Macaca fascicularis: one gene and its partners. The main gene of each other region encodes a partner of the protein of the gene in region 2 in a complex. Links are inferred from orthologs where the notes say so. Each region holds a gene or a part of one and is shown on either strand. Other genes may lie near its edges. The genes, in order: ZFYVE9, PTPN23 and ZFYVE16.

The links.
Region 1: the proteins of PTPN23 (region 2) and ZFYVE9 are in contact, whole or in part, in a crystal structure (PDB 5MJY), measured with the Homo sapiens proteins. The link is inferred for Macaca fascicularis from reciprocal best matches to the Homo sapiens genes PTPN23 and ZFYVE9. Residues at the interface, in NP_056281.1 of Homo sapiens: Phe62, His125, Glu137, Lys141, Val142, Cys144, Thr145, His146, Gln148, Cys149, Leu189, Lys192, Ser193, Asp196, Arg198, Lys199, Leu202, Arg205, Ile206, Ala336, Leu338, Leu342, Asp348, Ala350, Val351; in NP_004790.2 of Homo sapiens: Glu2, Tyr4, Phe5, Gln6, Glu8, Ala9, Leu12, Asp13, Val15, Leu16, Asp17, Phe19, Glu20.
Region 3: the proteins of PTPN23 (region 2) and ZFYVE16 are in contact, whole or in part, in a crystal structure (PDB 5MK0), measured with the Homo sapiens proteins. The link is inferred for Macaca fascicularis from reciprocal best matches to the Homo sapiens genes PTPN23 and ZFYVE16. Residues at the interface, in NP_056281.1 of Homo sapiens: Phe62, His125, Glu137, Glu138, Lys141, Val142, Cys144, Thr145, His146, Gln148, Cys149, Leu189, Lys192, Ser193, Asp196, Arg198, Lys199, Phe201, Leu202, Arg205, Ile206, Ala336, Leu338, Leu342, Asp348, Ala350, Val351; in NP_001098721.2 of Homo sapiens: Asp2, Tyr4, Phe5, Ala8, Val9, Leu12, Asp13, Leu15, Leu16, Asp17, Phe19, Glu20, Gln21.

Annotation. Positions count from the first base shown.
Region 1 is NC_088375.1:182,581,307-182,585,595, reverse strand, and holds the start of ZFYVE9 (zinc finger FYVE domain-containing protein 9), read left to right. Parts: upstream 1-1,381; 5' UTR 1,382-1,524; coding exon of another isoform or gene 1,525-2,378; intron 2,379-2,526; coding exon of another isoform or gene 2,527-2,644; intron 2,645-4,289. Other genes in the region: uncharacterized protein, read right to left, coding at 1,240-1,281, 1,525-2,378, 2,527-2,644. UniProt on the Homo sapiens protein: Early endosomal protein that functions to recruit SMAD2/SMAD3 to intracellular membranes and to the TGF-beta receptor.
Region 2 is NC_088376.1:110,332,314-110,335,306, reverse strand, and holds the end of PTPN23 (tyrosine-protein phosphatase non-receptor type 23), read right to left. Parts: coding exon 2,329-2,993; intron 2,236-2,328; coding exon 2,051-2,235; intron 1,924-2,050; coding exon 1,819-1,923; intron 1,738-1,818; coding exon 1,599-1,737; intron 1,507-1,598; coding exon 1,393-1,506; intron 1,315-1,392; coding exon 835-1,314; 3' UTR 588-834; downstream 1-587. Other genes in the region: SCAP (sterol regulatory element-binding protein cleavage-activating protein), read left to right, coding at 1-184. UniProt on the Homo sapiens protein: Plays a role in sorting of endocytic ubiquitinated cargos into multivesicular bodies (MVBs) via its interaction with the ESCRT-I complex (endosomal sorting complex required for transport I), and possibly also other ESCRT complexes.
Region 3 is NC_088380.1:84,416,539-84,420,070, forward strand, and holds the end of ZFYVE16 (zinc finger FYVE domain-containing protein 16), read left to right. Parts: exon of another isoform or gene 1-70; intron 71-1,060; coding exon 1,061-1,219; 3' UTR 1,220-2,951; downstream 2,952-3,532.

The DNA of each region.
Region 1 (4,289 bases), on a different chromosome or scaffold from region 2:
ATGTATTTCACATGTAAAATGGTGGTAGCATAGCACCTAATTCATAGAATCACTGCGAGGATGAATCACGGTTTCCCTTAGAGCCCCAGTTTCTCTTGTTATAGAAAGGGTATAGTGATTTTTTTGTGACTCAGGAGTATGTGGCAAAGGCACAGTTAGGATTATACAGGAACAGCTTTCATTAAGAGAGCTACTAGGTGACAGCTTCTCTGTGGTGGCTGCTCAATTATTAAATGAATGATTCCTGTAGTTTCTCATTATTATTTATCATCATTAGGCCATAACCTAAGGTAAGGTGAGATTGCCTTATAACATTTTTTATACATAAAAAATACTGGTTGCATGCTGATATCTGCTGTACAATAGAATGTCATAGGATCCAGTGCATGAGGCTCTATTCTTCTGTAGAGGGGTGTTACATAAACCCATTAGTGAAATTTAGGGAAGTTGCACCCAGACTAGGGAGGATGAAGAATGGAGCATCCATCTTTTGATAGGAATACACTTACACACACACATATACACACACACACACACACACACACACACACAGAGAATGAGAAACAAAAACAGATGAGTACAAAATTGAGCCTAAGAAAAAGAACTGGAACCAATAAAAATTGGAACTAGCATTTATTGAGTATCTTCTATGGGCCAGTCTCTTTATCTCCAATCTGCACAACAACCAGCAAGGCAGGCAGGAGAAAACTGAGGTTCAAAAATGTTACATAACTTGCCCAGGGTCATAAAGCTATAGATGACAGAACTGGAACTGGTAGTGTCAGTATGCGTCTGACACCAAAGTCACTACACATTCTAATATACCACCACTCTGTCAAAAAAGTGTATTTGGAAAATTTGGGGATCAGAGGATTTGGAGAATTATCTTTCCCTACTTCCCCTTTGACAGTCTTGTTTGTTTTTGGTTCTGACGTTTGCACCCTAGAGGCTGATTGGGATCAAATATGGGGCATCTGTAAACAGAATGATTCCATAGCCCCCACTGTGTAATAATTTCCTTCCTTCAGAGCATTACTAGGATTCGGCTGGGATGAGGGGTGGAGGTGGGAGAGAAGAGGTTGGGACGGGGAGGGTGTTAGTAAAAGATGGGTGATTCTTTGCTTACCTTTAAGTTGTTTATGAATTTCAGGACAACCCTTTGGCTATTCTCTTCTCTGGCTGGGCATATATATACATATATATTTTCATATTTGTTTTGTGGGGGTGGTGGTTTAGGTGTTAAGGGTTTGGTTGGTATCTGTAGAAAATTTCTGTAATGATCTACACAGTGGATAAAAAAAAAAAGTTAAGGTCAAAGACAATTCCTTCGTCTGTTTTGGGAGAGGAGTGTGTATATGTTTGAAAAAAAGGTTTGTTCTGGGTCACTCTTCTTTCATCCAGACGCATTAAAGGGATTAGAACGGGGTCTCCCCGCCACCCCCGAAGCCGGGAGAGACAAACGAAGGGATTCCCTTACATTCCTGCTCTCAGGTGCGGGTCCGAGTGACAAGAACGTTCACGTACCTTCGGGAGAGAAGGAAAAGGTGCTCGGGTCTGGCGGGGGGCGGGGAACGTCAAGGGTTTGGTGGGAACTGAGGGGCTTCCGGTTCCCGGGAAGTGGAGTCCCCGGCCGGCCGCGGGCCGCGGGCTGCGCAGGGAGCGCGGGGCCCTCGCCGCCCCCAGGCCGCGCTCCTTAGCGTTCCCTGCGGCTCGTGCCCGGCGCGGCCGCCGCAGTCCCGACGCCGTAGCCGGACGTGGGGTCCAGGGGGCGCTGTGGCCCAGCGGCGCCGGCGGCAGGAGCGGCCACCCGACGCTGGAGGCTTCGCTGAGGATCCTCGCCTGCTGCACCTCGGTCGTCCCGCCGCAGCCTTGCGCCCCCGGCCTGGCTCGGCGGCGCTCCTCCGGGATCCGCGTGGCTGCCGCGGCCCGGGCGCCGATGCGGCTGGGCGGGTGCCGGGCCTTAGCAGCTGTAGCAGTAGCAGCCGCAGCCGCAGCTACCGCAGCTCCTACAGGAGTGGGAGGTTTCGCGGTGGCGCCTGGGGCCGCGCCGGTGCCCTCCGGAGGAGGCTTTCGGCTCAGGGACGACCCCCCTGGCCATGCTGAAGCGCAGGCGGCCGCTGCTCGAGGTGAGTGTGGCGCGGCGCGGTCCGGGGCTCGCCCGCCTCCCGCCGCTTGTGGGGGCCTTGGCGGCAGCCTTCGGGCCGGGCGGACGGGGCGTCCTGCCACTGCGGCCGCCTCCCCCACTCTGCGGTCCTGGGGCCTCAGCCCTTTCTGCCTGCGTCCCCCGGGAGGCTGAAGGCCGTGGGGGGCGACTAGGCCCCGCGCCGTTGGGAAGCCCTCGCCCCGGCCTCGGTTCCGGCGCGGCCCGGTGTGTGGAGCTGGGGGCCGGCAGGAGCACGGCCGCCTTTCGGGTTTGCACGGGCCCGGGCCGAGCGCAGCCTCTTAGCCTGGGCCCTGCACGTACATCCCAGAGGGAGGTAGATGACGCCTGTTTGCAAACAGCTTTGGCTTCCCCGCGTCCCATACCGAGTACCTCAGAATCCCGGTAGTGGCGGGGGAATGGGGAGGAGAAGGCGGCCAGGGTGAGAATTGGGGTGCAGAGAGTGCGGGACCAAGAGAGCCCGTGGTACTCCTGGAGTGTCATTCATGGATCTGACTTGCTCGAGAACAACCTTTTGCGTCTTATTTGAGGTGAAATTTCATCACCTGCCGGTTGCTCAGCCCAGCCTCCTTGTATTGTATCTTGTCTCTAAGCGTGGTCTGCCTTGGAGAAAGCCCCATCGCATCTTTGCGATGCTAAGTTTTCTAGATAAACACTCACAGTTATAAAAACGTCTTTTACAAAGGTCTGTCCTCCCCCCCACCCCCCGCCGCCAGAGGAAATATTTTTATGCTTCAGTGTTCGGTACGAAAATGTTCCACTTAAAGAGATCCAGATAATGGTTGGCAAGAGGATTTTAAGTCCTCTTTAAGTGCCAGCTACTCTAATAAATACCTGAAGGAAATGGGACACATACTAAATTTTAGAAATAAAATGATTTGTTCTGATATTAATGTTGGAAAATGTTAGTACTTACAGTTTGATACCGTAAGTCAGATATTTATGTTTCGTGAGAAATGTGATTACAGGTTATTCCTGGTTTCCTGTTATGTGTGTGAAAGTTATAAGACTTATAGGTACTTGCAAAACTTTTATAATCATGAAAAAATATGCTTTTTGTAGAAAATTTGGAAAGTATGGAAAGGTACCGTGTTGGCTCTTAATAAATAATAATAGGAGAAATCACCCATAATCTCACAGATTGTAAACAGTACAGGTTTATAATGGGCTTGTACTGACAGTGATTTTTAAAATTATTTCTGTATATTAGGTTTAAAATTATCTGACTGCTCCATTTTACATTGCCATTTGTATAGGACCTATAAAAATATTTTACCAAATTACATTGGAACCGTAGTTGAATTCATCAATTGAAACAGAAGAATATGGGTAACTACCTAAAAGATCCCTAACTTAACTTTCTATGCAGCATGGGGTCTCCATGTAGGGAGAAAGTTTGGCATGGTACACGTTTTTGAAGATCTACTGTCTTACATGCTGTAGGCTTGCATTGTTTTTGTCAGATTTTAAGTATTTCTGTTAATTATTGGCTTGATTACCAGTTATTTTGGTAGGTTAATTTAGATTTTTAAAAGTCTAATTCAGGCAAAGTGTGATGGCTAGGCCTACTGGGGAGGCTGAATTGGGAGGACCCCTTGATCCTAGGAGTTCCAGTCCGGCCTGGGCAATGTAAGCAAGATGCCCCCCTCCGAGGCAGGTGGATCACGAGGTCAGAAGTTCGAGACCAGCCTGGCCAATATGGTGAAACCCCGTCTCTACTAAAAATAAAAAAAATTAGCCGGGTGTTGTGGCACGCACCTGTAGCCCCAGCTACTCTGGAGGCTGAGGCATGAAATCATTTGAACCCGGGAGGCAGACGTTGCAGTGAGCCTAGATTGGGCCACTGACTCCAACCTGGGCAACAGAGCGATACTCCATTCGAATACAGTTCGAATTCAGTCGAATACAGTTCTCAGTGTGTCCCTAAAGACCACCAACATTAGAATCAGTTGAGAGTGCTTGTTATATATATAACATAGGTATTATATGTAATATATGGATTCTTGGTCCCTTGAATTGAAATTCTAGGGATGACAATGGCCCAAAGAACTTTATTTTTATCAGTCTCCCTGATTCTTAGGCCTACTGAAGTTTGAGAATCACTGATACAGTAAATTTAAAATTAACT
Region 2 (2,993 bases):
AGGCTGTGTCTCCTTTTGGGACCTAAACTACGGGGACCTGTTACAGACAGTCTACCTGGGGAAGAACAGTGAGGCCCAGCCTGCCCGCCAGATCCTGGTGCTGGACAACGCTGCCATTGTCTGCAACTTTGGCAGTGAGCTCAGCCTGGTGTATGTGCCCTCCGTGCTGGAGAAGCTGGACTGAGCATGGGGCCTCCCTGCCCAGGCAGGGGTCTGGGGTGCTGTGTGGGGGCCAATGCACTGAACCTGGACTTGGGGGAAAGAGCCGAGTATCTTCCAGCCGCTGCCTCCTGACTGTAATATTAAACTTTTTTAAAAAACCACATCTGTCAGGCACTTTGGGAGCTACTTGTCTCTCTCGGAATTGTTTGTGCACACACTCTGCCTGGACCCTCCTCAGAGCTGCTGAGGAAACATACAGCATGGCACAGGTAGCAAAGCGGGGAGGATGAGCAAGCCAGAACTGCAGGACCCTTAAAGAACTGTCCTGGTAGTATAACAGTTTGGTACCATCCTGTTATCCACGAAAGGTGCTAAGTTCCTGCCAGTGCTACTGGAGCTGAGGCAGCAATGGGCAGACTCAGACATGGGCCACAGAACAGGGTGGTTTATTATTTCAATAGCAAAGAGCTGAAAAATGTCAGGTCTCATAAAGGAGCAGAACCTGACCCAGAGCCTGCAGTACATCTCCACCCCACAGGGGTGCAGACTGGGCCAGGCAGGCCAAAGGCAGCAGAAATGGGAGTAAGAGACTGTGCCCACTGAGAAGCTCTGCTGGGTGTGGGCAGGTGGGCATGAGAGATGTAGTGTAAGGACCAGGTAGGCGAAACCTGTTCAGGTCTTGTTGAGTGTCCACAGTGGATCCAGAAGGCTGAGGGGGTCGTCAGAGGGCTGGGTGGCCCGTAGCCCTTGCCCGTTATGGGCCTGCAGAAAGTTCTGCTTGCTCATCCGCTGCTTGCCCCGCAGGGAGCTATCCAGGGAGAAGGCCTCTGGGGTCAAGGAGGCCAGCAGCTCCAGGGAGGAGGAGGGGGGCCCCGAGCTGGGGGCTTCAGGCACTGGCGGCTCCTCCTTAGGCTGGGGAGCCTCAGGCAGCGGGGAGGAAAGGGGGGGCGGGGAGGAAGATGGGATTGGGGTAGACTCTGGGAGGCTGGCTGGCGGGAGGCCTGGGGGCTCTGCAGGGCCTGGCAAGCTGGCAACTGGGGACTCCAATCCCCCAGGAGGCCGGATGCTGAGCTTGGCAATGGTGGCCTGGATGGAGCTGATGGGCACATCCCCACCGAGGACCAGGTCCTGGGAGTCCTGAGGAAGGTGGTTCTGAGAAGACAGAGTGGGTGAGGAGAGGGAGTCCCAAGGTTGTGGCTGTCCCAGCAGCTTCCAGGGAACCTTCCTCACCTTCTGGCTGATGCTTGCGCTGGCCAAGGGTTTGCATGGAGGGGGCACACCATGGCGCTGCAGGACCTGCTCCACGTGTCTCACCACTGCCTCATAGCAGAACCGGAGGTGCAGCTGCACAGGTGCATTTGGCCAGGTCAGCCAGGCAGGGGCCCGTCACCCGGAGACAGAAGGCCCATCCCAGCCCCACCTGCCCAGATCCTCACCTTCTCCTGCAGCATGTGCTTCCTCTGCTGCCGCATGCGTCGCACCAGTTGAGGCAGCTCAGGGATTCCATTCCCAGCCTCCACCTCCTGCACAGCTGCGTAGAGCAGCGCAAAGGCTCCCGTGCGGCCCACACCAGAGCTGTGCCAAGAAGGGGGCATGAGGCTGGGGAATGAGGCCAGGCCAAGAGCCCGCATAGAGACTGTCAGGCCCACCCTCTACCTGCAGTGCACAACGATGGGCGTGTGCAGCGGCCGCTGATGCAGGTAATGTGCGTGCACCTCCTGGATGAAGTGCAGCAAGTTGCTGGGGCTGTCGGGCAGGCCTCTGTGGGACAGGATGGGGTGGGGAAGAGCCTATGAGCCAGACCTGATCTCAGGCTCTCATCCCTCCCAGCACCAAGGACTGGACAGCACCCCAGACCCCCAGCCACCATCCAGAGCAGTGGACGCACAACTCAGGCCAAGTGGGGAAGTGGAGGTGCACGAGAGAGCGCTTGAGGCTCTGGTCTCGGAACTGCAGGCTCAGCACACGTTCCACATGCGTTTCAGTGCTGCGGACGCTGCTCAATGCCAGGCTCAGGGCACCGTGCACCATGGGCTGGCCCCTCTCGGTGGGGAAGTAGCGTGCCACTTTTTGCTGAGGGACAGACAAACCAAAGCAGGGCTGGTTTTCCAGGATCCCCTGCCCTGCCACCCCACACTGCCCTCGTGGGCACCCAGCCCCTCTCACCTTCTCCATCTCAGCCTCAGAAACCAGCATGACAATGACTGACACTTTCTGCTCATGGACCATGAGCCAGAAGTCAGCAGCTGTGCCGGGCAGTGGGGCCTGGGTGGCCACTAGTGGCGGGCAGTATGGGGAGAGCCCCTCCACGCAGCTGGCATTGATGTAGTCATCCTTGCCTGAGCGCAGTACCACACGGTTACTGTCGTACGGCATGACATCCTGGTACCGGTTTTTCAGTGAGTAGCAGCGGGCGATGGCGATGGAACGGCCTCGGGCATCATGTTCCTGTGCATCTTGCAGTTCCCGCCAGACAGTGTCCAGAGCCCCCACATCCCCCAGCTGGCCCCGAAAGGCCTCCAGCTCCTGCTGCAACTGCCGCAGCCTCTCAGGATGCTCATAGGGGTCCCGCTCAATCAGCCGCAGGGCCTGCGGCCGACGGCCCTCAGCTGCGTCCACCTTGGTGGGCTGCAGCAGGGGCTGCCCACCCCCAGGAGGCTGAGTGCTGCCATGCTGGCTCTCCGGGCTGGAGGAGAGCAGGTCTGCAGCTGCAGCGCCTCGGCGCAGGCAAGGGGGTGGTTCTGCTGCTGGGGGCCGAGGGGGCACAGAACCGGGCCCTGGAGATGGAGCAGGTGAAGGCACTAGGTGGGGACTGGGGGTGGGCTGGCCAG
Region 3 (3,532 bases), on a different chromosome or scaffold from region 2:
CGGCACCTGGCCTCCCCCACATCCTTATCAAAGAAGTATATAATCAAACTTTTGAACTTGGACAATTTGATAGGTAAAAAATAATACCGCGTTACTATTAATATTATTACTTTTTAAAGAGATGGGGTCTCACTGTGTTTCCCAGGCTGGTCTTGAACTCCTGGGCTCAAGCAATTCTCCTGCCTCGGCCTCCCAAAGTGTTGGGATTATAGGTGTGAGCCACCACGCCTGGCCCCCGGTGTTATTTTAATGCATATTTCTCTTAACAAGGAGTGATAATCATTTTGCATGTAAAAACAATTGGTTTTTCTTTCAACTTTCAGTTCAAATCTGTTAGGAAAATATTTCTAATTTTTTAGGAATAGGAATATTTATTTTCCTAACAGATTTGAACTGAAAGTTCTCTTTCTGACATCCAAGTAACTCTTTCCAACATCCAATATAGATTTTCAAATCAGACTTCATTAGAATAGTTAATCTAAACATGGGTGAGTTCATATGCTGAAGGTTTGCTTTTCTTCAGCCAGGATATGTTTTACTCATAGTTCTCACTGGAAAAGGGGTTTTGTTTTTATCTCACTATTAAAAGCCCTCTTTTCAAGGAAGCACCCACTATTTGTTATTTGAGTAAGCACTGTAAATTTTTTTTTAGCTAAATGTATTAAAATGTAATTTGCACCAATGTTAGAGTCTAATATTAAATATTATTGCAATAACAAATTTGAAATTTAAGTATTTTTAATACCATGGGGTTTTTAATTTAAGTAGTGTCGGCAGTTATTCAAAGCTTAATCCCTCTAATTTGTTTATGTGTTCATTTAGAGGAAACATAAAGTATGACATAGTGGAATTTTATATTTATGATATATGGGGAGGGACAATTATAGTTTATGTAGTAGATAAAAGATACAGGAGAATGTAGAATTTTTAAAATAAATATATCAATATTTTATTTAACATGCTTGAACTGATATTTTAAAATATTTCACTTATTTTATATTCACATTCTGAGCTAGACAAGATTGTTCATTTTCTTATCAAGATGTTTTTTTTTTTCCAGGTTGAATTTCAGGCAGGATCTGAAGGCCAACTTCTGCCTCAGCATTATCTAAATGATCTTGATAGTGCTCTGATACCTGTGATCCATGGTGGGACCTCCAACTCTAGTTTACCATTAGAAATAGAATTAGTGTTTTTCATTATAGAACATCTTTTTTAGTGAAAGAATGTGCCGTATTACATATTGCAACCTGATTTGTTAAAACTAACTCCAGCACTAAAGCTGAAATGCCACAAACACTAAAAGTATAAATATGTCTGATTTTTGAAACACATAAGCTTTACTCTTTAGGCAGGAATGATCTTTTCAAATCATTAGCACAATATTTAAATATCTAAAAATTTAAGAGATCCATACTTTTTGAAGCTTTACAATTAATTTAAGTACTAAAAAGACAAAGATTTCTTCTAAGAAATTTGTAGCATTTACTGTGTTATTTAAATGCTAAGCCAAAGTATCTGCACTTAGGTATACCTCTTTATGCCAATAATGATTTTAATGAGGCTCTTTTCAGATGTAACCTTATGAAGGAAATATCTGTTTTGTGTATATGCCAGTTAGAATACGGGTTTCTAAAGTCTGTCAAAATTGTATTTCAGTGGCACAAAAACCAGTTTCGAGATCTTAGACTTATAATTCTTTGAATAAAGCTGATAACTTATTTGTATAATTGGAGTGGAGACCTACCTCCATAATTAGATAAACTCTTTTTGGATTAAAATCAGAATTTTGCCTTTTTTCTTCTCAAATTATTACATATGTATGTATTATATATCCATATATATATAGTTTTTCCTGATTAAATGGATATTAAAATAATTGTGGGTGCTTCAGGACTTTTTGCTTCTATATTTAAGTATATTGTTTTTATAGCAAGAACATATTCTGAATGTGTTTTATAAATCTTTAATAATTTATATATAGGTAATATTTTTGTATCACAGTGCATTATTTTTTTCCTCCTTTCCTTCCAAAGTATACCACTGTATTTACCACTTCTAAGAGTGACTGACGACAGGCCAGATGACCCTTGAAGTAGTCATTATGTAGCAATAAATGAAGCCTGAAACAGGTTTTTTTACTTCCACTTTAATCCTTAGAAATTTCTTGGCAACTCAGCATATTTTCACTGACACCAATGTATAAGTATAAATTTAAATGAACTAATTACTTTTGCATATTTTAAATTCTTTATATGGTAGTTATTTTTTATAACAGGATATTAACATAAGTTAAATCCTATGTATTTGAAATTGTTACAGAGCTTTCCTCTTCAAACATCAAAAAAGTGGGGGGCATACTGTAGTCCTGTCATTTATGTAAAAAATTTAATCATTATTTTGATGCTTTAAATATTCTTATGTGTAATATGTTTTTGTATCAAAAACACTGATATATTTCAAGAAAAATAAATTATGTTAAATAGCCCTGTTTTAAGAAAAATATTTATGAAGCATCTCAACTTGAAGATCAAGTCAAAGTTATAACTCAGGATCTGAGGTCTCAAGCTAGGAGAGACTGAGAATTTTAATCAGTTTGGGCATATAGTTTGGACTGAATCACATCTGTAGTACTAGCCAAAGACAATTTGGAGGAGAATATCAGCCTTCTGGAAGTAGCTACTTCATGAACAATGTAAAGTGTTGCAGATATTCACTAAAATGACAACCTGTTATAATTTGTGAAATGTATTGAAATGGTGTAAGATGCAAACAATTGCATATCAAACCCAATTTATGTTTTCTTAATATAGTGTGTGTATTCTGCCGTGTAAGTAACTGCACAGTCTTAAAGTAACCAAATGGTAGAGGGCTGTTCCATGATGGAATAGCTTTGGATTTGTTTTCTTAAAATCTCTACATTCAATAAAAATTGGAATTACGTGCCTGAAGTTTGGAGGCACATTTTGAAGTATTCTTTGTAGATATATAGTATGTTTCTGAATGTTACTTATTTGGTCATTGGTACATAATTTGAAATTTTAATTTTTTAAGAGTGAAGAAATAGAATAGTTCTTTGTACTCAGTCTGCAATGATCTATTTTTGGCTTATGTCTTTTAATACTACTCTCTTTCTCTGAATTTTGAAATATGAAGTAAAAGTTAGCCCATCTGTTTTATGCAGCTGTTCAACAAACTTTGTGTGTTTTTATACTTGCTACATGCAGAGCACTTTACCAGGTTTCTAAGCAAAAATTTCTAAAAATGATTAATTGTTCTGGCAGAATTAGACATAGTTCTTTATCAACATTTATGGATTCCATGCCACAAGTAGTATGCGCTTAAGTGCAGAGTATGACAACAAAAAGAGTAGGATTTGGCCATGTAGGAACAAAGATTCAATTGTGGGAAATTTCCTGTTTCTGAAAATTGCATGCTTGGATATTTACATCATGTTCCTGTTGAAAACAATTCCTGATTAAAATACAAGAATAATCTTAAAACATCAAAGAGATTTTCCAGACAATAAGGA